4 linked regions of the Saccharomyces cerevisiae S288C genome follow. The gene in region 1 interacts genetically with each later gene. Each region holds a gene or a part of one and is shown in the gene's direction. Other genes may lie near its edges. The genes, in order: YDL186W, TPK1, PAA1 and FIT3.

Region 1 (6,313 bases):
AGTGATAGTGACAATGAATGGAGTGATTGGTTGAACGGAGATGACTCTAACACACAAACTAGTAACGGTTCAGTTAGCTCTTCATCACCATTCAATTCATCTGTGACGACGATACAAGTAAACAAACCTCAACAACAATTTTATGATAGTCGAAGAGGAAGAGGAGGAAGAAGAAGAGGAACAAACAATTACAAAGATGCCTATAGAGGCCAAAGTCGTCGGAATAAAGAAAACGGCGGTTACCAATCGGGATATTCTTCGCCATATCTTGTGTATCCTCCTCCCCAAATGGGTGGCAATAGTCTGCCAACCTACCCTCTAATGTATAACCCCGCTGGTCCTGCCCCCGGTCCTGCACCTTCACCCATGGTAATGGGCAATAACACAGTCTTCATGAACCCTTACATGTACAATATGAATCCCCAAGGGTCCTGTTCGTTTGGCACCCCAATCCCTATGTATCCCCCATACCAATATCAATATCAATACCAATATAACACTCAGTATCACAGCGGGCCATATAGCAATACACCAAGCTATAATTCTAACAATTACACAAGATCCTCAGCAAATAAGTACCACCATTTTCAAGGAAAAAATTCATATTCTGGTGCGATTCCGAAACGTAGTGATGACAGTAACAGTAATAAGAATGAGGGAATTCGTAGGGCTAGTGTTGAGGGTTCGCCGTCATCTAGGGATACTGATTCGGTAGAGATGAAATTTGATAAATTAAACATTTAGCGTGAGGAGTGAACTATACATAGCGAAAAAATTACGTAACGGTTTATAGAAATTCTAGTATGAGAACAGTAATATATGAGAAAAAGTTGTTTTCACTTTGTGTTCGAAAAAATAAGTATTTGAAAACGAAAAAATAGTTTGTATGTTTGTATATAAGTTGTTATTATCAAAAATTAGAGGGAAAAAGTAACTAAATATATATTAAAAAAAAAAAAAAAATAAATGTATGTTGGAATGAAATAGCGTAGTAAGGATAAAGGTGTAATAGATATATATTATAAGAAATAATCCGGTGTCTTCCTGGTGACGGTTGGTTCACCGGGTCTCACAGATGGATCGTATTGTAAGAATTGCCTATTATGGTTTTCATCCACCTCCATAATAGCGGCCTGGTTACCACATCTATAACAATAATTTGGAGCACTGAAAATGGTGACAACATTTTGCTGGTGAGACCAAGAATATCCTTCCATTACCAATTGGTGAGCTCTTGCTATTAGTGATAGGTCATTAGTGTGATTGAATTGCTCACTGATGTCTTGACCAAAAGTGAAGCCTGCACCTCTCGGACTGATTCCCCATCCGCCTCTATCATCAGGATCGGACCATAGAAGGTCACACATTGGACCTTCGTGAGGCACTTCCTGTATTCTATTTAAATCTCTAACTTGATCTATTGTCTCTATCATGGGTGAGAGACCTCCATGCAAACAGAAGATTTTATTATCCACCAAGGCAGTAACGGGGAAATAATCGAATAGATCGGTAAACATTTTCCACACGTTCGCACTGCCGTACTTTCTCAAACATTCGTCATAAAACCCATATACTTGGGTAATCTGCCTAGACTCGTGATTGCCCCTAAGTATAGTAATTCTATGTGGATATCTGACTTTCATGGCAACTAGGTAAGATACGGTCTCAACAGAATAATATCCTCTATCCACGTAATCACCCATGAAAAGGTAATTGGTGTCAGGACAAGGACCACCAATCTTGAAAAGTTCTAACAAGTCATGGAATTGACCGTGTACGTCACCACAAATGGTAACAGGCACGTTAATTGGTTTAACATTCTCCTCGAACTGCAACACGTCCACCGCCATTTTACATAGTCGTGCTACATCGTCTTCTGATAGTGGCTCGCATTTACTCAAATGCTCAATCCATTGGTCAAGCTGATTTATATTTGTATTGGTCAGTTTTAGTGGTTTGGAGGATTTATGATCTGCTATACCCGAGGACCCCGGTTTAAAATTAAAATCTTCCAACTCTTCATCTGTGTCTTCGTCATTAGAACGCGCCTTCGTATTATTTTTGCCGTCATCACTATTCATGTCTTCGTCGAGAGTCGGTGATAATTGATCTTCATCTGAACCATGCATAGGGTCATCAATTTCCATATCCATTTTTTTCGAATGAAAGCCAGTTATACAGAAGTGCCAATAATATAAAATTCAAAAAAAGACGTAACAGGAACAATAACCGGAAAGGAAAGAGAGCAGGTAGGACAAGAAGTAAACGGGTTTGCGTGTTCTTGTTCGAACACTGTTTTGCAGCGGGCTGGTACCTTAAGAAGTTTGCTCTAGTTACAGCCCTTCAATTGGTTTTATAAAATGGGGATGTCCCTTTGAAACTTTCCACGACTCTTTTCCACAATTCAGCGGAAAAGAAAATAATAACCTCTTCTAGATTACCCGGTCATGTCAGGGTAATACACGATTGTATTTCAAAGTGCACAACGACTATTGTTGTCGTATAAGCTTTTGGATTAATCTTAGCATTAATTGATACATAATTCCGCAAGAAGAAGTTTTAGGAGAATAGAGTTTCGCTTCTTTTATTAATATTCTGTCCTGTGTCACAAAATATTGTAATAATTTGGTGCGGTGTATGGGTTCAAGTTCCCAAAAAAACAACTAATTTGCGACACTTCGTAGTTCTGTGCTTTTATATGGAATATACTTGTGGACTCTATTCCTGGATGTAGATTTGCTTACAGATAGCCAAGAAATATTAGAAAAATATGCAGTGTAACACAAGTATAGAAGATGGTTTAGATGGGGGCGACATAACTTTCCCATCCTACAGCCCTGAAGCGGAGGCTCAAAACAGATTCTTACCAAGAAGTGAGTTCCCCTCTGTGAGGCAACTCGTGATTTCGAAACAAAAAAGCAGAAGAAGAAGAGAAGAAAATGTATTTGTGGGAAAAATGGAGGACGTACTTGTAAAATGGAGGCCACCTGCATCTTCACATCGTGGCGCAATTGAAGCTATTAATGGCACGCATCCATATCAGCTTAGCACAGCACAATTCAACTCGAGAAGATCGGATCCATTTGGTTCAACAAAGAGAGATGAATCCGTGCGTTCCATTGTAGAATCGTTTACCGATTGGTGGAAACGCAATTCCAAAATGTTTTTTCGTGACGAGGAAGAAGGTGTACGAACCGAACACAGTGCGAGTCAAGATGACCAAGAGTTGCAGCTTTTCGAAGAAGATCTCTTCTCATTTCACCTAAGCCCAAATGATATGTCAACCAGGAACAGCGAACATCAAGTGCAAACACCGGTGCTTTTCCCGTACGAAGCTCCTACTCGAACAAAACAAAACCCAGCAGAAAGAAAAGTCATTGAAATTGGGGACGGCGAAGAACTCTCTATCTATCGAGATGTTTATTCCAATCCTATTCCTGTCAGCTACCTAGATACCTTAAACTTGAACCACTCCATGTCTGTACGGCAAACACAACAGCAACAACAACAGCGGCAACAGCAGCAGTATGTAGACTCTTCATCGGCATTTCAATGCTGTACAGACTCCAATTGGGCGAGAATATTTTTTTGCCACCACGATTAGACTCCACTTTGCTTCTATAGTCCTATCTATTGTTCTTTTTATTCCTAGCATAACCTTATTGTATTGTTCTTTTTCTTTTTCCTTTTTCTTTTTTTTTTTTTTTTTTTTTTTTTTTTCACATCTTTTTCCACGGCCGCTCAAAGGGGTCTCACACTGGATTAAAAGCTGAAAACAAGAAATGGCTCTTTCGATAAGGTTGCAACATTTTGATTACTACGTTGATTAGAATAAAAAGTACCAAACACATTTCTCAAAGCATATAGATATCTAAGATTATAACGCAGGAGTCGTTCTTTCATTCTTAGAGTTAAAAAGCAAATAGAGAAGAAAAGAAACAATGGCTGGTGCAATTGAAAACGCTCGTAAGGAAATAAAAAGAATCTCATTAGAAGACCATGCTGAATCTGAATATGGTGCCATCTATTCTGTCTCTGGTCCGGTCGTCATTGCTGAAAATATGATTGGTTGTGCCATGTACGAATTGGTCAAGGTCGGTCACGATAACCTGGTGGGTGAAGTCATTAGAATTGACGGTGACAAGGCCACCATCCAAGTTTACGAAGAAACTGCAGGCCTTACGGTCGGTGACCCTGTTTTGAGAACAGGTAAGCCTCTGTCGGTAGAATTGGGTCCTGGTCTGATGGAAACCATTTACGATGGTATTCAAAGACCTTTGAAAGCCATTAAGGAAGAATCGCAATCGATTTATATCCCAAGAGGTATTGACACTCCAGCTTTGGATAGGACTATCAAGTGGCAATTTACTCCGGGAAAGTTTCAAGTCGGCGATCATATTTCCGGTGGTGATATTTACGGTTCCGTTTTTGAGAATTCGCTAATTTCAAGCCATAAGATTCTTTTGCCACCAAGATCAAGAGGTACAATCACTTGGATTGCTCCAGCTGGTGAGTACACTTTGGATGAGAAGATTTTGGAAGTTGAATTTGATGGCAAGAAGTCTGATTTCACTCTTTACCATACTTGGCCTGTTCGTGTTCCAAGACCAGTTACTGAAAAGTTATCTGCTGACTATCCTTTGTTAACAGGTCAAAGAGTTTTGGATGCTTTGTTTCCTTGTGTTCAAGGTGGTACGACATGTATTCCAGGTGCTTTTGGTTGTGGTAAGACCGTTATCTCTCAATCTTTGTCCAAGTACTCCAATTCTGACGCCATTATCTATGTCGGGTGCTTTGCCAAGGGTACCAATGTTTTAATGGCGGATGGGTCTATTGAATGTATTGAAAACATTGAGGTTGGTAATAAGGTCATGGGTAAAGATGGCAGACCTCGTGAGGTAATTAAATTGCCCAGAGGAAGAGAAACTATGTACAGCGTCGTGCAGAAAAGTCAGCACAGAGCCCACAAAAGTGACTCAAGTCGTGAAGTGCCAGAATTACTCAAGTTTACGTGTAATGCGACCCATGAGTTGGTTGTTAGAACACCTCGTAGTGTCCGCCGTTTGTCTCGTACCATTAAGGGTGTCGAATATTTTGAAGTTATTACTTTTGAGATGGGCCAAAAGAAAGCCCCCGACGGTAGAATTGTTGAGCTTGTCAAGGAAGTTTCAAAGAGCTACCCAATATCTGAGGGGCCTGAGAGAGCCAACGAATTAGTAGAATCCTATAGAAAGGCTTCAAATAAAGCTTATTTTGAGTGGACTATTGAGGCCAGAGATCTTTCTCTGTTGGGTTCCCATGTTCGTAAAGCTACCTACCAGACTTACGCTCCAATTCTTTATGAGAATGACCACTTTTTCGACTACATGCAAAAAAGTAAGTTTCATCTCACCATTGAAGGTCCAAAAGTACTTGCTTATTTACTTGGTTTATGGATTGGTGATGGATTGTCTGACAGGGCAACTTTTTCGGTTGATTCCAGAGATACTTCTTTGATGGAACGTGTTACTGAATATGCTGAAAAGTTGAATTTGTGCGCCGAGTATAAGGACAGAAAAGAACCACAAGTTGCCAAAACTGTTAATTTGTACTCTAAAGTTGTCAGAGGTAATGGTATTCGCAATAATCTTAATACTGAGAATCCATTATGGGACGCTATTGTTGGCTTAGGATTCTTGAAGGACGGTGTCAAAAATATTCCTTCTTTCTTGTCTACGGACAATATCGGTACTCGTGAAACATTTCTTGCTGGTCTAATTGATTCTGATGGCTATGTTACTGATGAGCATGGTATTAAAGCAACAATAAAGACAATTCATACTTCTGTCAGAGATGGTTTGGTTTCCCTTGCTCGTTCTTTAGGCTTAGTAGTCTCGGTTAACGCAGAACCTGCTAAGGTTGACATGAATGGCACCAAACATAAAATTAGTTATGCTATTTATATGTCTGGTGGAGATGTTTTGCTTAACGTTCTTTCGAAGTGTGCCGGCTCTAAAAAATTCAGGCCTGCTCCCGCCGCTGCTTTTGCACGTGAGTGCCGCGGATTTTATTTCGAGTTACAAGAATTGAAGGAAGACGATTATTATGGGATTACTTTATCTGATGATTCTGATCATCAGTTTTTGCTTGCCAACCAGGTTGTCGTCCATAATTGCGGAGAAAGAGGTAATGAAATGGCAGAAGTCTTGATGGAATTCCCAGAGTTATATACTGAAATGAGCGGTACTAAAGAACCAATTATGAAGCGTACTACTTTGGTCGCTAATACATCTAACATGCCGGTTGCAGCCAGAGAAGCTTCTATTTACACTGG
Region 2 (6,885 bases), on another chromosome or scaffold:
CGCATTGTATTGATTTTATAAGGGATGTATTGCATTCGGCTAAGGCAACATTTATGGATAACGAAGTGCGGTTGAGTTCTGGTATCGGTTTTGAGAGAGTCTCTGTTGCTGTTAAGATTCCAATTTACATATCTGTCCTGCACAGGTTAGCGCTGCGGCGTTGCACAGGCATGAAACTAGGAAAACGTACTTTGGGCAGATTTGTAAAAAAAATTCTATCAAAACAACTAGTACAGAACAGTTGAGTTTAGAGCCGGTGTCTATTATCATATGGGAAAGATGATCCTCTTGTTAATTTGGTAAGTAGTACTATTAGGTGTTGAATATTAACCGTTTATAATCCGATATAGTGTAACGGCTATCACATCACGCTTTCACCGTGGAGACCGGGGTTCGACTCCCCGTATCGGAGTATTTTTTATGTGATTAGCTAAATAGTTATTTTTTGAAATAGTTTGTAGTAGTTCACCTTTATCCTATTAAAATATAATATCACACGAAAATTATCTGTTTGTCCTCAATTCAGTTGATCATTGTGCTAGATGTTCAATATTGTGAAACTTTTACAATACCGATTCGGTGCGGACATCTTGAAAATACAATACCGTGCGATGCCTTTAAACTTTTTTTGAGGCATGAGCGTAAATAGACCTGGAATGTTCAATATAGACTGTAGCAAAGTGCTTCTTCAGTTTATGCTATTGTACACTGTACTATTCTTATGTCACAGGTAATAGAACCACAATTAGATAGAACAACCTATTATTCCATATTAGGCTTGACATCAAATGCGACTTCCTCCGAAGTACATAAATCATATCTAAAACTGGCCAGATTACTTCACCCAGATAAAACAAAATCTGATAAGTCTGAGGAATTATTCAAAGCTGTGGTGCATGCACATTCAATTTTAACTGATGAAGATCAAAAACTTCGATATGATCGAGATTTGAAAATCAAAGGTTTACACACTTACCAGCCGAAGAAAAACTGTCATATTTTCAAGACCAAGGCAAAGGAATCACAAGGGGCTAGTCCCACACTTGGTCAATCAGAAGCTTATCATAGGCAAAATAAACCTTATGAGCAACAGCCCTACGGTTTCGGTGTAGGCAAAAAAATGACCTCAAGCTCTAAGAGTAAGGTTCCGATATTCAAGTCCTTCAATTTAAAAAGCTACCAACGAAACCACTATTATTCATCCAAAAAGGAAAGGAAACATGGAAGTCCTGATATTGATTCTTTGTTCCATGAAACCAATGGAGCCTCAAAAGTAAGAATGACTGATGCCGGTAAAATGGATACGAACTCTCAGTTCCAAGAAATATGGGAAATATTGGGTAAAAATGCGTACACACATAAATCTTACTCTGAAGATCCAAATTCATGTTTGGGATCAGCACTAAGCGATCATGAAGAAGAAGAAGAAGCAGGAAAACAACAACAGCAACAGCAGCAACAACAGCAACAGCAGCAACATTATGGAATGACGTCGAAGTCTAGCAGTCCTGATGAAGAAAAAAAAAATAATAAAGAACCGAAAAGGGAAAGCAGAGTCTCTCCAGAGGAAAATGGCGAAGAAGAAACGGGACACAAACAATTTAAATTGCCCAAGACCAGTACTTTTTCTAGTGGATCCCATGATTCAAATTTGCAATCTCCTTTTTACAATCATGAGTATCGACATTACGCAAGAAGTAAATTCGAATGCAAGAATCAGTTTAGAAAGTCAGTTTCTCCCATTAAAGAGATACCTGCAACAACTAGTGCCAATGAAGGATGGAACATTTTGAGAGACATTATTGAAAAACTCAATATAAGCAATGTAGACGATCGAAATAAAGACTTGCTGTTTCGTCGGGATGAAATAGGTGATAAAAATCACAGCGACTCAATCGACATAGAAAATTTATCTATCAAAGAACCTAAAGGGATGAAAAGGAGAAAGAAAGATGATATATCTTTAGAAGAATTGTTCCAATCTTTACCAAGAGAAAAAGATTATTTTATGATGGATGCAATTAATGACTCGTTAGAATCAATCAATCTTTTTAAAAAGCCGAAGACCACTCAGAGTCACGAACAAGGTGGAACTTTTGCCCAAGCAGAAAGTAATCGTGCAAAATTCAAACCGTTACTAGAACAGTGTGGAATTACACCCGAGATCTTAGATTTGGAAATACCAGAGATTCCGGAATTTGATGCAGTGGCTGACCTTGAAACATTGAAGCTTAACGTGCAGCTGTTTAATAACCAATGTAACAAACTTAAAGAAACAATACATCAAGTATCATTACAGCGCCTGAGAGCAGATACGCAGTTCAGTGATATGTTAACCCAAAAGCAAAGTATTATGGTTTGGAAAACATACCTAGAATTTGATAAAAGTTTAATGGACAAATTGAACATCTTACAAGAAAGACAGATGCAGGTCATTAAAATTTTTTCCGAAAGATGTGACGGTAAAGTATAATCGAACGCTCTTCTTAATGAGCATATACCCGTCGTCCTTACGCCAGGATGGAAATAATTTGAATGAATAATGTAAAATATATAAAAGTATCTAGTCAGTACATTTCATGTCTCAATTATTAATATCTTAAATATATATTTAGTTATGGAAATTCAATAAACTACTGAAATAAATAGAAAATTCTTACAGAAAATGGTAAAAGTAAAAAAAAATTACCAAAGGGTGCACTTGGCAATTTAAAAGTACTTATAAACTGGTTTGGCTTCCAAGTGAATGAAAGTGCTATGGGATTATCATCAGGTAAGTACAGTGTATCTTACTAACATTGGCCGAGCGTTTATTGTTGTTCCGTGGAAGTTTATCATGATTTCCCGCCCTTAATCGAAATCAAAAAAAAAAAAAATAAAGGGTAAGGGATTCCTAAAAACCAACAAGATGAAGGGCTGATCTGCAAGAAGTCTAATAGACTTATAAGGAATACAAACCCTAGTTCTTGCATTTCACGTATACATCTTCAAACCGTGCGAAGCAAAGGCGCAGAACAATGTCAAACGAGGATGAAACAACTCGTTTAATGTCTTCAGATGAGATGGACTATTTATTGGAAACGGCTGGGATCAACGCCTTGGAAGAAATCATTAGTCAAAATGACAGTACTGGAATAAATTTGGATACTAATGAAACAGCTCAGGACAGTAGCTATGACTCTATCCGGCGCTCCCCCAGTATTTTGAGTGTTGCCAAAAGCGTTGAGGGAGAGCATGGACGTAGAAAACTATTATGCCTTTACGGCCTTGTTATGATTATCTGTATTGCGGAGTCTATTTCTATGACTGCTACAATACCGTTGGTGATGGACAAGGTAGCGGAAGGAATTTCAGATGAGAATGGACATTATGATTCCGTGGCTGTACAGACAATAGTTTCCAGCATTTCTTCATCCACTATGATGATAGCAGGGGCAATCAGTATTTTCATGGCTGGTAAGTGGGGAGAATTATCCGATAGAATAGGAAGAGTGCGTGTTTTCAAATACATGAGCGGCATCAGGGTCATAGGGCTTCTTACGCACGTCTTTACCCTATCATCGAAAATGAAGTATCACAAATGGGCTATTGTTCTTACTGCGTGTATCGTACCATCATTCGGTGGCTTGTTTGCGCTAGTGGCGAATGGAAATAGTTACGTTTCAGATATAGTGAAAACTGAGCACAGAATGGTGACAATAGGAATAATGATGAGTTGTATATATGCCACTATGGGCGTAGGCCCAATGTTTGGGTCCTTTCTGGTGAAGTGGACTCATGGAAACGGGTTCATTCCTATTTACACATCAATAGCGTTTGTTATACTGGCGCTTATAATATGTGAGACAATCATGGTGGAACCGCGCCATGAAACCCAAATGGCCCATTCACAATCAACTTATACAAAGAGGAGAGAGAAACTAAGATCACAATCGGGTTCTGACGATGCAAGAAATTACCAATCCGTTACTTATGGAAAATTTCAAATAATGAGGTTAATGGACCTGCTCGCTCCAGTAAAAAAGTTATGGCTGAAGCCCGACAGTGCAGGGTCTTTAGTACCCCGGCATACCGTAATATTACTCATTGTACTCGATATACTATTTGTCTGTGGAACGACATCGTGTATGCCAGCATTGATTTTGTTTTCTACATATGAGTACAAATGGCATGCAGTAGAGCTAGGTTATTTCATATCGATACTGGGTATCGGAAGAGGTGTTGTGTTACTGGTCGTATCACCTACATTACTGTACACGCTAAAGAGGATTTATCAACACTTGAACCATTCGATAGACAAGATAGACATCTTTTGCATACAGTTTTCTATGATTGTTATAACACTGAGTCTCTTTGTCATGATACGATTTGGCGAGAAAACTCCCACATCCATGATAATATTCGCTCTTTTACAGGCATTGAGCGCGTTTTGTTCACCAACTTTGCAGTCTGGTATCATAAAGTACACCTCTAAGAAACATACAGGCGAGATGTTCGGAGCAATGGCTTTGGTAAGGTCCTGTGTTATGCTTGTCATCCCTCCCATCCTCCTTAAGCTATATGGAAGTACTGTCTCCGTTAATCCTAGTCTGTTTATGTATATACCGTTCTCAACAAGTATTGTTGCCATCTTGTTGACATTCTTCCTAAGAATTTACAAGAACCCTCCGCTGGACGGGCCTTAAAAACATTTACATACCGTATACACCACATATTTTTAGTTACTTGTTCGAAGCTGTGCTGCTATTCGTTCTTGCAAAGCCAGTGTCCTAACGACTTTGCTTATGACATGATTCAACATAGTGTTGTTGTGGTTTTTTCTACGTAATCATGATGATCTTTTTTTTCGCGCTATTAGGGGGGAGGGAAGGCGGGATCTGGTAAAAGTTTGACATAATAATCAAGGGGGATATCGTATCCCTTTACTTGAAAACTTGAAAAATATTCATCTACTATCTCTGGCCAGAAAAACGTGAGAATTTTTAGGTGCGAAACATCATAGAAGCTGCGATTGTATCCATCTAAGAGTTTTAATTTGATAAAGCTAAGGAATCTGACCCTATACTTTTTTTTTTGTTTGGCTTGCTTGCATTTTCAATCGGCTTCAAAGGTAGCACAGAAAGTAGTGTTCTCTTAGCTTAAGCAGTGCATGAATTATAGCTGATTGTGTGAAAGAATCTTTTTTTTGGGTATGTCGACTGAAGAACAAAATGGAGGTGGTCAAAAGTCTCTAGATGATAGACAAGGTGAGGAATCACAAAAAGGTGAGACTAGTGAAAGGGAAACAACAGCCACAGAGAGCGGTAACGAAAGTAAGTCTGTAGAAAAAGAGGGTGGAGAAACCCAAGAAAAACCGAAGCAGCCACATGTCACTTATTACAATGAGGAGCAGTATAAACAGTTTATTGCCCAAGCGAGAGTTACAAGTGGGAAGTATAGTTTACAAGACTTTCAGATATTAAGGACACTGGGTACGGGTTCTTTTGGTAGGGTCCATTTGATTAGATCAAGACATAATGGCAGATACTACGCCATGAAAGTTTTGAAAAAGGAAATCGTGGTAAGATTGAAACAGGTGGAGCATACCAACGACGAGCGATTGATGCTTTCTATCGTAACACATCCGTTTATTATTAGAATGTGGGGGACTTTCCAAGATGCTCAGCAAATTTTCATGATTATGGATTATATTGAAGGTGGAGAATTGTTTTCTTTGTTAAGGAAATCCCAAAGATTTCCCAACCCAGTTGCTAAATTTTACGCAGCGGAAGTTTGTTTAGCTTTGGAGTACTTGCATAGCAAGGACATTATTTATAGGGATTTGAAACCGGAAAATATCTTGCTTGATAAAAACGGGCATATAAAGATAACAGATTTCGGGTTTGCCAAATACGTTCCTGACGTCACATATACATTATGCGGTACTCCCGACTACATAGCACCCGAGGTCGTTAGTACTAAACCATATAATAAATCTATCGATTGGTGGAGTTTCGGTATTCTGATTTACGAAATGCTAGCAGGATACACGCCATTTTACGACTCTAACACGATGAAAACCTATGAGAAAATCTTGAATGCCGAATTGAGATTTCCACCATTTTTCAACGAAGATGTAAAGGACCTGTTGAGTAGATTGATCACAAGAGACTTAAGTCAAAGACTAGGTAATTTACAAAATGGTACAGAAGATGTCAAAAACCACCCCTGGTTCAAAGAAGTTGTCTGGGAAAAATTATTATCTAGAAACATAGAAACGCCGTATGAACCGCCCATTCAACAGGGACAAGGTGACACCTCACAGTTCGATAAGTACCCGGAAGAAGACATCAACTACGGTGTTCAAGGTGAAGACCCATATGCTGATCTTTTCCGGGACTTCTAATGACTAATGTTTTGTTGTATTTTCCTCTCGTATCTATATTTTTTTTTTTTCATATTTTTTTCCCTCTTTTCTACATAACAACTATCCTTCGAAAACGAAATTTCAACCCCTGTATAGTTACTACGGAGATGGAACGGCGTTCACTGTTCTTGTAGATTGCATACATGATGTTATCGAGGCGTATTCCTACCATTAAAAGGGCTTTTATTCTACGCTTCTGTCTTTGATTTTCTACTTTGCTCGCCGCGCCACTTTCGAAAGCTTGCATCATGAAATGAAGGATTTTGCATATCGATTTTTTTTTTACGTGAGCCCCTTGGTATAAACCAAATAAAGGGCAATTGGTGGCTCCAAACAAGTCGGAATCTCCATTCTATACGTGTATATTTTAGGAAGCATTATAGTCTACGAAAAGATCCATTCTTTCCATCCATTTACTTTTAGAATACAAAGGAGATAGAGAAACTTGCTAAATAAAAAAAAAATTTTGAAAAAATAAA
Region 3 (6,396 bases), 460 kb from region 1:
AGTAGTATTAATAGGGCTGGCAGTAAGATAACTACATCTGATGTCATAGATTTTAAAATACTAATATTATTATTTACGTTGGGTACATTACATACGATAAATTCATGCAGTTGTAGTACTTGAGTGATTGTTATTTGCCTTTCTTTTTCTGCTTTTCGTATTCTATTTTTCTTATGCTTCCTGTACTTGCTCTGCGGGTATGCAATCACACCTGTAGCTGAATGCAAAATTAAAATTGCAAAAGTAAAAAAAAAAAAACAAAATAAAAAAGGGAAGAGAAACAAAGTTATTCTACCATATCTCGAACACTCTTGCCAAGAGAAGATAGAGTTTAGAAAGAATATCCTGTGGAGGTTGCTGCTGGTTGGCTAGCTGAGGAGGCGTGAGGATCAGTGGTTTCGCTGAGGGCACTCCTTGGTTTATCTGAGATATGCATTGAAGATTGGCATGAACCCTTTTAAGGAACTGAGATATAAGTTGCTGTATCCTGATGATGTTATTGTTATTGCTATTATTTATATTGTTCTGTAGATTGTTTTGTAAACTATTATTCATCTGAATAACTCTAGCAAGTAATATGCTGTTGATATGCAATAGCAGTTGTACCTTATACTGTCTTTGCTCATCGACCGTGGGGAGGTTCAGCTCTGCAGTTGCATTTGCAGTTGCATTTGCAGTTGCATTTGCAGTTGCATTTGCATTTGCATTTGCATTTGTATTTACATCTACGCCAGCGCCAGTATTGCGGTTCTCGTTTTCAGTGTTGGTGTTCGTATTCGAGTAGGCAATTTCACTGCTCATTTTTCTGGGAAAAAAGGAAATCTGTGTGTTTTGCTTATATGCACATTGAATTTACACTCCCGATCGTGATGCGCTCTGAGCCCTGAATAGAGGGTATCATAAACGGCAATCTTACTACGACCCCACGTAATATGCTTTTATGGGAAGTCTGTTCTCCACTCCGTATATACTGTTAGGAGAAAAAAGGAAAAAAAATTTGCCCGAAAGTCGATTGTTACCCGGCAAAACAATCATCAAAAAAAAACAGGTAGAAGAAGGCTTGCTATAATTTGAACACTCTCTACCCTCCTGGCTGCTTTATCTACTTCTGTTGGCTTGAGAAACGTCATATCTATATATAGCGTAGATATGTTTATTCGCGTTTGCACTGGCCTTGAAGAAACGTGAAAAGAGGGTGGTTTCACCGCACAGCGGGGTTATCCTTGGTTACTCGTAAATGCCAATAATCCATCTTGAATAATTCCTATTCGAGACGCATGGGGAAATGCAAGGCAAGCTAACACGTAGTAGAATACCCTGCTGCACAGCGCCGTTGGGGTCTCAAGTGCAATTGCCGTTTTGCGCGGCGATAAACGGCTAAAGATTACTTCAGTTGGCCACGGCAGCTGCGCCCTTCCCGAGTGGATTACGCTCACGTGCTTTCCGCGGAACAAAAATGTGAACGCCACGGGAAAAAAGCATTATCCCCGCGCCGCTTCTTGACGCCTCTGATTGTGCTGATTGATTCCGCTTTTTTTTTTTACCGGCTTTTTTCTCCGCCTTCTTCGCCTCAATCGAGAGTTCTGGTGTAAATTCTCTTACGAAGTGCAAAGTTAGTAGGAAAGTAAAAAAAATAAGAAAAAGGAAAAATGCCTAGAAATGCAGACCTCCGGCCACAACATTTTTATATAATACATTCGAGCATCAAAAACCAGGAACAATAGAAGAGTAATCGCTACTTGTCAAATAAAAATAAAAAAAGGAAACCTAAGGCATAGTGTTTTCATAAGCATCGCTACTTTTTCATTGCCACCCTAACTGTTCCTTTATTTCACCGGTTGGACGTTATCATTTCTGCTAAGAATCACCTAAAGTCTTTCAACGTCTAAGAAAGCATGAATGTCATATTTTCTTTGGCGAGTTTCGTCAAAAACATGTATAATGCAAGTTTGAACCAACGTAATCTAATAAGCCTGCCGTTCAACTTCATGCTTAATTTTGCGCCAGTGTTTATTTGGCTGTCTATATTCAAGCGCGCTGGTCTGATACCCATAAGGCTCAGACCTGACATTCATAGCAAGTTTGCTTTTTTTGCTGATCAATTCCTCTTTGGGGACTATTGGCATGAACTTACTGTACAATTGCCCGATAATACTTCGAAGCTATTTTTCTGGTCATTCATATCATCTTCTGCATTTCTCTTAGTATTTCTGATATGTATTCCCTTTGCCATTTGGTACTACATCTATTACATTAAGCACGTTAACTATAATCTGTTAGAGTGGTTCGCAAATATTTTTCATTACCCCTGCAAGCGCAAGCAGCGGCCGATCCAAAAGAGATTTCGGACAATTTTCATACCGTTTGCCTTGCCCCTGTTTACATTTGTTATACTCAACATTGATCATTTCTTTGCTTACCAGTCGGATGCAAACTTTACTAAGACCAAGGATTTACTGGCTTGGTTCTCCTATGTCATCCTGCACTTGACAGCTCCAATTTTAACAGCTGTATACTTATACGTCTTCCAACCACCGGGGACTTTAAAATGCTTTAGTTTTGCCCTAGGATTACAAAATATAGCGGGGGTCCTTACCCATCTGCTTGTTCCAATGGCCTCCCCATGGTTTACTCATCTGTACGGTATTGATGACACCGAACATGTTAATTACACCCAGGAAGGGTTTGCTGCCGGTTTGATAAGAGTAGATAGCCATTTGGGTACTCATTTGAACACTAAAGGATTTCACATGTCTCCTATTGTGTTTGGTGCTGTTCCTTCACTACACTCCGCCATTGCATTTCAATGTTTCTTGTTTTTGGTTTCAAGGTCCACCAGCTTAAAACACAGATTTTCCAATGCTGGAGGTTTCACAATGCACAATAATGATTCTTCCACTTTCAAGTTGAGTGAGGAAGACAGCGAAGATGAAGGTGACAATAGCATACCGCCCACGATTGGCCCTAACGACTTAGAGATGGAACCATTGGGTACCGTTGAGCCTGTAGATATTTCAAATGAGCGGTCCTCCTCCCCTTCATCTTCATTCACCGTATCCAGTAATGAAAGAAGCACCGGCGGCGGCGACGGCAGCATTATTAACAGCAATGGCAATAAGAAACCTCTCCAGTTTGTCCATTTATATGATGAAGACACGAACTTCACAAACAAATGGATTTTTAAAATAGTCAACGATGGGTTTATACCAAAATTCTGGGCTATCCTATATATAATACTACAATGGTGGGCTACCATGTATCTGGACCACCATTATAGATTTGACCTTTTCGTTGGTGTTTTATATGCAATGACAAGTTTCATCATCATAAACTGGTTTGTTTTACAACCAAAAGTTTTAAAAAAGTGGATTCATATAAGGTTAGGCGACAAAGTGGATACAAGAAACGAAGCTCGCACTTTTGGCATGAGAGTATTTTGTGGCACCAAGATGGAATGGTTTTTTGATCCGCTTGCATAGACTATAGAATGTCATAATGTAATAAAAGTAATTTCGGATAATTTAAATAATATAGATTGGCTTTTTTTTTAATAATATATTATTAGTGTTATGCATGCTTTTTTTTTTTATTTTAATAAAGGGTTAACCTGAAATCGGCTTGCTTTTGGTTTTCTGTCAATTCATAAAAAGAATAGTTTTGAACGGGCAAAAATGGAAAAGCAATGGAAGAACGACGAACATCCCACTGGACAAGAAGCGGGAGCAAGTGTTTGTAAGAAAAATTTACAACAAACTAGATTAAGAAGAATTGGACATCAGAATACTTTTCTCGGAGAAAAAATAACACCAATACATTACGATTAAATAAAAAGTTAAAATGGCCTCCTCAAGTAGCACGCTACCGCTTCATATGTATATTAGACCCTTAATCATTGAAGATTTAAAGCAGATTTTGAACTTGGAAAGCCAAGGTTTCCCACCAAACGAAAGAGCTTCAGAAGAAATTATCAGCTTTCGTTTGATCAATTGTCCAGAGCTATGTTCAGGTCTTTTCATCAGAGAGATCGAGGGCAAAGAAGTTAAAAAGGAGACACTAATTGGTCATATTATGGGTACTAAGATACCTCATGAATACATTACTATCGAAAGCATGGGCAAATTACAAGTGGAATCGAGTAATCATATTGGTATTCACTCTGTAGTAATCAAGCCAGAATACCAGAAAAAAAACCTGGCTACTTTACTTTTAACTGACTACATTCAGAAATTGAGTAATCAGGAAATTGGTAACAAAATTGTCCTTATTGCTCACGAGCCATTGATACCATTTTATGAAAGAGTTGGTTTCAAGATCATTGCTGAGAACACCAATGTTGCTAAGGACAAAAACTTCGCAGAACAGAAATGGATCGATATGGAGAGAGAACTAATTAAGGAAGAATACGACAACTAGATCATTAGTTTAACGCACTTTACAAATGTCTAATTATAAATACTACATATAATTTTTGTATATTTTAAAATTGCCAAGTATAATTAAAATCATTACTACTGGTGCTACCCTACATCCTTGACCGTACTGAGATATCACTGCTTAATTCCGGTGATTGGGTTCTTTTCAGTTCTTGGAGAGATATACGTACTACCTTCCTTTTTTTTTAAGGATACCTTTACTGTAAAGGGTTTGTTCCTGTATCAACCCCTTCTTCCTGTACAGAATCTAAGGGAACCGTAAAAGCACATAAGTATATAAAGGTCCCAAGATTTGATTAGGTAGATATGGCCTTTGAGTTGGCTCTTAGTTTTTTTTGGCCTTGAATACTTGTTCCTACAATACTCCAACAGCAGTTGAAGCCAGACCGCAGTATCACATATATAATACACAGGAATATATTTGATAATGTTGAGAACCACTTTTTTGCGCACTCCAAGACAATTGATGCGTAAATCGCCAAGGGCGTCTTTCTCAATCGTCACTAGGGCCGCCTTTCCTCACCTAAAGAACAATCAAGATGAAGCTGAGAAAAAAGAACAGGGTTTGTTTGATAGCAACAAGAAGAGGTTGGACACTTTGGAACACGGCAAGAATCCAGATTATAAGCAACCTGGAATGGAAGATTTGAAAAAAAAGGGAGATGACGCTAGAATCGAACAAAACAGGCCAGATGACGGTGTTTATTAAGAAGCACTTGGTACAAACTCGTATATGCATGTAGTTTCTGTCATACACATATCTATATTCCTTCCCCCCTGGTCCTATCGTATTTAGTCATATCATATCATTTATTGATATCTATATAAGTGCAAAACTATAACCATTATTTATTTGCTTTCCACATTGTTTTACTTCATTTGCTTCAATATCGTTCATTACGTTTAGCGAATGGCTAAGGCCCTTGTATTAGTAAAAGCCTAGAAAAAAAAAAAAAAAAAAAAAAAAGGATATGATGTTATATGATACGTGTAGTTCATGTATTTATCTTCGGTAGTATAGGGCAGATTTAAGACTGAGTGTGCACGCTTCCAAAGTTTTTTTTACTATTTGATACATGCTTAAGTTATGGAGCAGAATATTATTAGTACCATAAGGGATGAGTGTATTCGTCACCGGTCGAAGTACCTTACGATAGCACAACTAACCGCTATTGCAGAGGCTAAAATTAACGAATTCATCATAACTGGTAAGGCAAAAGATCAAGATTTGAGCAGTCTTCTAGATAAATGCATCGATATTTTATCTATTTACAAGAAGAACTCGAAAGATATCAAAAATATTATATCGTGCAAAAATAAGGGTGCAATGATTAGTTCAAATTCCGTAATGATTATTCAATTAAATTATGTTTACTACAAGGTAATTCACATTATTGTAACAACCAATATTCCTCATTTAAGTGAATTCGCCAAGATTAAATTACATAAGAGCACGAGTGATGAGGGCAACGGTAATAACAACAATAATGAATTTCAACTCATGAACATTTACAACACTTTGCTGGAAACCTTATTAAAAGATGAAAACATTGCAAAAATAAAAAGTTTCATTAAGTCTTCCATAAAACAAACAAAATTGAACCATGAGCAAGAAGAATGTAACCTGATGAGAACGGGTTCCTATATCACTTCCAATCAATTAAACTCCCTAATAAGTTCATCAGCAAATTCTGCTTCCTCCCAAATGGAGATACTACTGATAGATATACGATCAAGGTTGGAATTCAACAAGTCACATATTGATACAAAAAATATTATATGCCTGGAGCCTATTTCTTTTAAAATGTCATATTCAGATCATGATTTGGAGAAAAAATCATTAATTACTTCTCCTAATAGTGAGATTAAAATGTTTCAAAGTAGAAATCTTTTCAAGTTTATCATTCTCTATACAGACGCAAACGAATACAATGTTAAACAGCAGTCTGTCCTGTTGGACATT
Region 4 (6,184 bases), on another chromosome or scaffold:
TAGCTAGAACATTTTCAATTGGATACCCTGATGTAATGCAAAACTTTTGTTTTCTATCATGCCTAAAGTATCAATTCATATCATGATGAAAAAGGTAACTCTATGTAGCCATCCGTGTTTCAAGATTATGTTCTCGTGATTGACAACTTACGACAGTGGCGCTGTATATGTCAGATGCGACTGTATTGAAACGATCCACATTCTAAAGGGTGCTGCTTATTATTCCTCCGATAAGTACTGTTCCCGTAACCCTGATTACCCTTCGATATTTATTAATCAGGGAGGAAATAATAATAAAGCGAATAGCGATTTTATACTCATGCGTTAAATTTGTATTTTTGCCAACTCAATCTAAATGACTGCAATTTTTCATACCAAGAATGTTAGCAATGTACCCTTTTTTTAAGTAGTGGTGTGCAGTGAAGGATTGTTATTTGGCGATGAAAACTAATTGCAAATCCCCACAAATAGGATTTTTAAATAACAGTAAGGGTGAGGTGTAGTACCTTCGCCGGCTTATTAGATTCCCGCTGATTTTTAAGGACTAAATGCATTGAATATTAATGGAGTACAGTTATTTCATACAGTAATTAAACAAGGTCCGTGTTTTTGTGGTTTTGGTATTCGTAACAGGTTAGCATTGATAGGGCGGATTGAAATGCTACCAATTCTGGAATTCCTCCACGTATTCTATCCATTTGTCACCGTGTTCAAGAACTCTTTTTGCCGTCAACTCTCGTGTCTTGTCTACAAAGCCCTCTGACCCGCAACAAGTGACCAACAAAGATTTTGCACCACTTACTGCTTCTTCAATTATCTCATCGATATTTGGTCGTCCAAAATCAGTAATCATTTCCGCTGATTTCGATGTCGTCAGCAGTCTGCCTTCCGTGCTCATATTAGCAATTGCTCCCTCCTCCGTGTTCGATTCATCTTTTCGCTCTCCTGTGAAGTAAATTTTTGTGTCTATGTTCAACTCTTTTAGCACCATTATCTCTTTGCGATACACTTCTAAGAGATCAAGGTTACGTACACTCCACACAAATTTGATCATTTGATGAGAATCGTTGCTTTTGACCTGGCGACCTGCCTTTATTGCCATCGACAGAGGTCCAGGAACACCCGCCCCTCCGGCAATAAACAGGAGGCTTTCGAACAAATGTGTTCGCGTGCTTTGTCCATAAGGTCCTTCTGCTAGTACTCGCATTTCCGTGTACCCTTCGCTCTCTAAAAGGTATTCCTGTAATTTTTTGGTTAGCCCATTTTTCACTGTTATCACAACTACCAACTCACCATCCTCAACCAAAGAATCCATGACCGTGAATGGATGTGATTGCCAGAATATTTTTGGTCTTAAGAAGTACAGATATATATATTGGCCAGGTTCTGCTTTCCACCATTTGGAGCTTTTTGAGATTCTCACTTCTATCATGGACTCGCCACACAGTTTCAATTTAGCCCATGGCATTCCAAAAATTGCAATCTTTATTAGCCGCAGAATACGGTCAGCAATCCAAAACAGTGCACACGCCATTATCCATTCACCCCATCCAAGTTTATAGCAATGTTTCCAGCACGCATGGAAAAATCCTATTGCTAAGATAATGTGCGTAATAACAAACAATTCGTAATAATGTCGTCTAAAGAAGAAGAACGAAAAAAACACAAGTATTCCAACAATGATCATGGCATGTCTTCCGGATGTCCATAGATCACTATACTTCACGTATTTCCAGTAATTTTCTATGTATGCATGGTAGGTGTATCCTATTGCATGGATCGTACAGTCTACTAACATGAATCTTCCTAACCATTTGTGGTAAGTAATGAATGCGGTATATCTTATACCTGTGAGCCAAGTCATTGTGCTGTTTTTACCGCCAAAGAGAACTATCAAAGGAAAATGTGCGAATGCCAGGATCCCTGCCCTGTCGGAAAGGAAGATAAGCACTTGGCTTCTGCGATCACTGAGCAACTCATTATGGTCAAAATTGTAACTACTCAACAAGAACCCGTGCAACAAAACGTAACCGAATAGGACAAGGGTCTCTAACCTGGTAGGGACCAGACCGATGAAAAACCACCTTCCCACTGACATAGCATGGTTATGAACAAGCGCTGGAAGAACATAGTGGCCTCTTAAGAAAGCAGACACCTTGTTTTTGAACACCGTTTGTTTAAGTCGAGAAAAGTTCAAGAAGTGATATACAGCTGCAATAAACAGAACTCCTATCCAGTATAAGCAAATCGTCACTCCATAAACATTTCCTTTGTCTATATTATCCAGGGGCCCAAAATAAGCCCATACCCACCTATCTAGAGAGGCTTTATTGGGAGTGACGGGATATCGTATGTTTTCCTTTACCTCATCAAGAGGCCGGATGAAAAGGGATGCATTGGCAAAAATTCGATAATACTCCTCATTGCTGACGACCTCATCTTTGTGATAATCGTGGCAATACTGATTAATTTTGCTAAACGTTTTTTCGAATATTTTTTTACTTTTCTTCCTACTGTCGAGAACATCCTTCGCGCAATGTAACCAAGACCCTAGTGCTGGTTCATAAGTGCAAAGAGTAGCGTGCCGACCCTTCACATCCGTGTCAAATTTGTGTGATTCCAATTCTTTAGCACAAGCATCAATTGCTATCTGGTCCCATTGCGTTCTTTTCTTAGTTGATGCTGGTTTTGCTAAAGAACCTGGTGCCAAATACACCAACAGCAGCACTAATCTAGCGAAAAGCATTCGAAATCTGGGTGAATTAAATTAACTGCGACAAAATTGGTGATGTGACATACCGAAAACGCTACATTACACATTTGCCAAGTAAAAAATTGACGCTCCTTTTTTAATGATCGCTAATGTAATGAAAAGTAAAAATCCAATTAAACGAGGAAGCGGTAAAATATGATTGCTGTGTAGTAATGCCACAGTCTTCTTAGTCCTACCTATGTCCTAGATTTTTTTTTGCACCCTGTTTGTTCCGCACCCCGCTATCCCATATTTTTTGATGTATGTGAAGGAAAGCAATCTAAGGGCTCAAGAGCCGAGTTCCGCCATTCTAGGAAAGGGTGCAAAAAAATGGGGTTCAATTATCGTTCGAGATTTGTTATTTTTTTTTTTGTAAAAGTTGATTTATGGGGTATTTAAGCCAAGAACTATTTGAAGTATTAGGAGGTAATATGAATGTTCGAACAGATACAAACAAGTACTTCCACTCGCTTAAAAATAACTAATAACAATAATCCCTAAAATGAAATTCTCTTCCGCTTTGGTTCTATCTGCTGTTGCCGCTACTGCTCTTGCTGAGAGTATCACCACCACCATCACTGCCACCAAGAACGGTCATGTCTACACTAAGACTGTCACCCAAGATGCTACTTTTGTTTGGGGTGGTGAAGACTCTTACGCCAGCAGCACTTCTGCCGCTGAATCTTCTGCCGCCGAAACTTCTGCCGCCGAAACCTCTGCTGCCGCTACCACTTCTGCTGCCGCTACCACTTCTGCTGCTGAGACTTCTTCTGCTGCTGAGACTTCTTCTGCTGATGAAGGTTCTGGTTCTAGTATCACTACCACTATCACTGCCACCAAGAACGGTCACGTCTACACTAAGACTGTCACCCAAGATGCTACTTTTGTCTGGACTGGTGAAGGCAGCAGCAACACCTGGTCTCCAAGTAGTACTTCTACCAGCTCAGAAGCTGCTACCTCTTCTGCTTCAACCACTGCAACCACCACTGCTGAAACTTCTTCCTCTGCTACATCCTCTAGCACCGCTGAATTATCTAGTTACACCGGTGCTGCTGATGCCATCACCGCTGGTACTGGTTTGATGGGTGCTGCCCTTGCTGCCGTCATGTTATTGTAAATGATATGTGAATAATCATGCGGGATATCCGATTTTTATGAAGCACCTTGCGGCTTGGCCTTTTTTCGAAGTTATGTTAGAATAAAAAAATTTTAATAACACACATTAAGTATGTATGTATATATACTGTTTCAAGTTCGTTGGTCTTCCTTTAATTGTTTGAAACGGTTAAAAGTATCTAATTAAAATAAATATACCCGAAATCATACTAAAAAAATAGTTAATATTAATAAAAGTAATGATAATAATAATAATAACAATAATAATAATACGATGATGATGATGAAACGAAAAACTGCTACATTGAAGTCACTGAGAAACGTAATGAAAAAAAGTCCTTTTTACTAGCCTTTTGAAGGAGAAAGACAATTATATTAGCTTTTCATAGATAAGTTATAAATATGCTATACACGATAACTAATAGCTTTTTTCTGGTTTGAAACCGAGCTTATAATAGGTAAGAAATCAAACCAAGGGCCAATGCACCGACACTTGCTCCTTGGAATGCAGCAGGAGCAGCACCAGAAGAAGAGGCAGAAGAGGAGGAGGAGGATGAGGAGGATGAGGAGGATGTAGATGATTCGACGGCTTGAGTGACGGTCTTGGTGTAAAGGTTGGTTGATGAACCTGAACCGTTTGTCAAAGTAAGTGTCTTTGTTGTACTCTTTTCAGAGGTGGTATCTGGTCCTTCGGTGACAACCTTTGTGTAAGTAGCATCACTATTACTGACAACGACAGTTCTAGTGGTACTGTAACTAATGATAGGGTCAGCGGTGTCGGTAACGACCTTAGTGTAAACGTTATTACCGTTAGTAGCAGTAATAGTCTTAGTGGTCATTACACTCGACACAGCTGCTGCCGAGACGGCAGTCATAACTGTAGTAGCTCCGAAAATAGTTGAGAATTTCATTATTATTGTTTTGTGATGGCTTTATGATAGACTTTTTTACAAGGACCGTAAAATTCTGCCTGAAGCACGCACACATTCCTGTTTTATACATATATTGCTAGGTAATATAAAATGCTAATTATACTGCACCCAGTTAGATTCGTATACATCTTATCCGAACTCGATTACAAATTATACAAGTGATCCAATTGGGTGAACCTCGAAACAGTTCTCTGTTCAAGGGTCCGCTGCGGGGCGAGGGGGGGTGCATTTGAACTTAGGGTGCATTGTTTTAAATCCTATACAGGATATGAACTTAGTTAGTTCAATGATCGCTTGATAAATTGCACCCTGCTCTTGAGGGTCATTCTAAGTAATGAAATTTTGGGTGTTTTTGTTTGCCGTCCTCGTTCAATTCGCTTCCGCCGTTCTGGAAGCCCCGTTAACTTCCGTTCCCGCATTCCGATCGCTGTAGGGCTTGGCGTCAGTAGCACCCAGATATTTCACTGTAGGAGCTTACTTCACTCATTTCAATTGGTATACAGAAATCTATGAAATGTAGTTAAAGGCATCACTAATCCGCATCCGCGATACCCGCAACATATACGGAATGTCTATGTAAAAATGTCTCCTGTGACTTTCATTAATCGAATCTTTCTATAAAAAAAAAAATGAGCAAATCACAGTACACCCACTACTCGCATCATCAACGTTGAGTCAGTAGCAAAGTCTCCAGTTATGGTGCCCTCTGGTCCAATTGTAGTAAATTCGTTTGCACGGATGAAAAATAGCTCATGAATGTTCTTGTGTATTTGAATACCATTATGTGCGCGGCTCATACGGATTTAAGTGTGATCTTCCCCTCCGTATTCCCTGTCAATAACTCAAAGTTTTCCCATTTCGGTTTGAAGTTCTTCACAAGGGAGTTTCTTGGCGCAAAGGCATGATGATCGCATTTGCCTCAGTATATTTCGTCATTTCGGTACTGAGAAACGAAATTATTTTGCCTGTTGTCTTGCGTTTTGGCAACCCTTAAGAATTCATCTAATATGTTGGTCCTTAAAGATAAGCGCTTTTGCTTGTAAAATTCTGATTTTTTGTCTTGTGATGGTAATGCTACATTGAACATCAATGCGTATCTGATTTTAAAAAAAAAATTAGAAGTGTGTATAAAATGAAGGTATTATCAGTTGAGCAAATATTACATGTGCTCTTCAAAAGTACCTGCTTTTCATTTAGTGACTATCAGGATGATAACGCCGCTCGTCTTATTTTTAACTGTCGTTTTCTGATAAATGTGTTGAAAACGTGCTAAACAACAATTACCTGTTCTCAAGAGCCTTGAGCCTGGATTGAGAGCAAAAAATCTCTCTTTCATTTTATACAGAATTCGGAAAGAAGATGGATATTTCATGAAAATCTGTTG

The links.
Region 2: mutations in YDL186W (region 1) and TPK1 together harm fitness more than expected from each alone (negative genetic interaction), as found in Saccharomyces cerevisiae (3 studies listed by BioGRID).
Region 3: mutations in YDL186W (region 1) and PAA1 together harm fitness more than expected from each alone (negative genetic interaction), as found in Saccharomyces cerevisiae (2 studies listed by BioGRID).
Region 4: mutations in YDL186W (region 1) and FIT3 together harm fitness more than expected from each alone (negative genetic interaction), as found in Saccharomyces cerevisiae (2 studies listed by BioGRID).

What each region holds. Positions count from the first base shown.
Region 1 is NC_001136.10:122,846-129,158, forward strand, and holds YDL186W (uncharacterized protein), read left to right. Parts: upstream 1-2,770; coding exon 2,771-3,604; downstream 3,605-6,313. Other genes in the region: RBS1 (Rbs1p), read left to right, coding at 1-744; phosphoprotein phosphatase 2A catalytic subunit PPH22, read right to left, coding at 1,020-2,153; VMA1 (H(+)-transporting V1 sector ATPase subunit A), read left to right, coding at 3,942-6,313.
Region 2 is NC_001142.9:109,466-116,350, reverse strand, and holds TPK1 (cAMP-dependent protein kinase catalytic subunit TPK1), read left to right. Parts: upstream 1-5,191; coding exon 5,192-6,385; downstream 6,386-6,885. Other genes in the region: JJJ2 (Jjj2p), read left to right, coding at 722-2,473; YJL163C (uncharacterized protein), read left to right, coding at 3,018-4,685.
Region 3 is NC_001136.10:586,844-593,239, reverse strand, and holds PAA1 (polyamine acetyltransferase), read left to right. Parts: upstream 1-3,837; coding exon 3,838-4,413; downstream 4,414-6,396. Other genes in the region: SNF11 (Snf11p), read right to left, coding at 292-801; IPT1 (inositolphosphotransferase), read left to right, coding at 1,896-3,479; FMP16 (Fmp16p), read left to right, coding at 4,861-5,142; ubiquitin-specific protease DOA4, read left to right, coding at 5,521-6,396.
Region 4 is NC_001147.6:1,058,126-1,064,309, reverse strand, and holds FIT3 (Fit3p), read left to right. Parts: upstream 1-3,254; coding exon 3,255-3,869; downstream 3,870-6,184. Other genes in the region: FRE5 (putative ferric-chelate reductase), read right to left, coding at 662-2,746; FIT2 (Fit2p), read right to left, coding at 4,318-4,779; YOR381W-A (uncharacterized protein), read right to left, coding at 5,720-5,887. UniProt on the Saccharomyces cerevisiae protein: Involved in the uptake of non-siderophore and siderophore sources of iron. Has a role in the retention of iron in the cell wall and periplasmic space.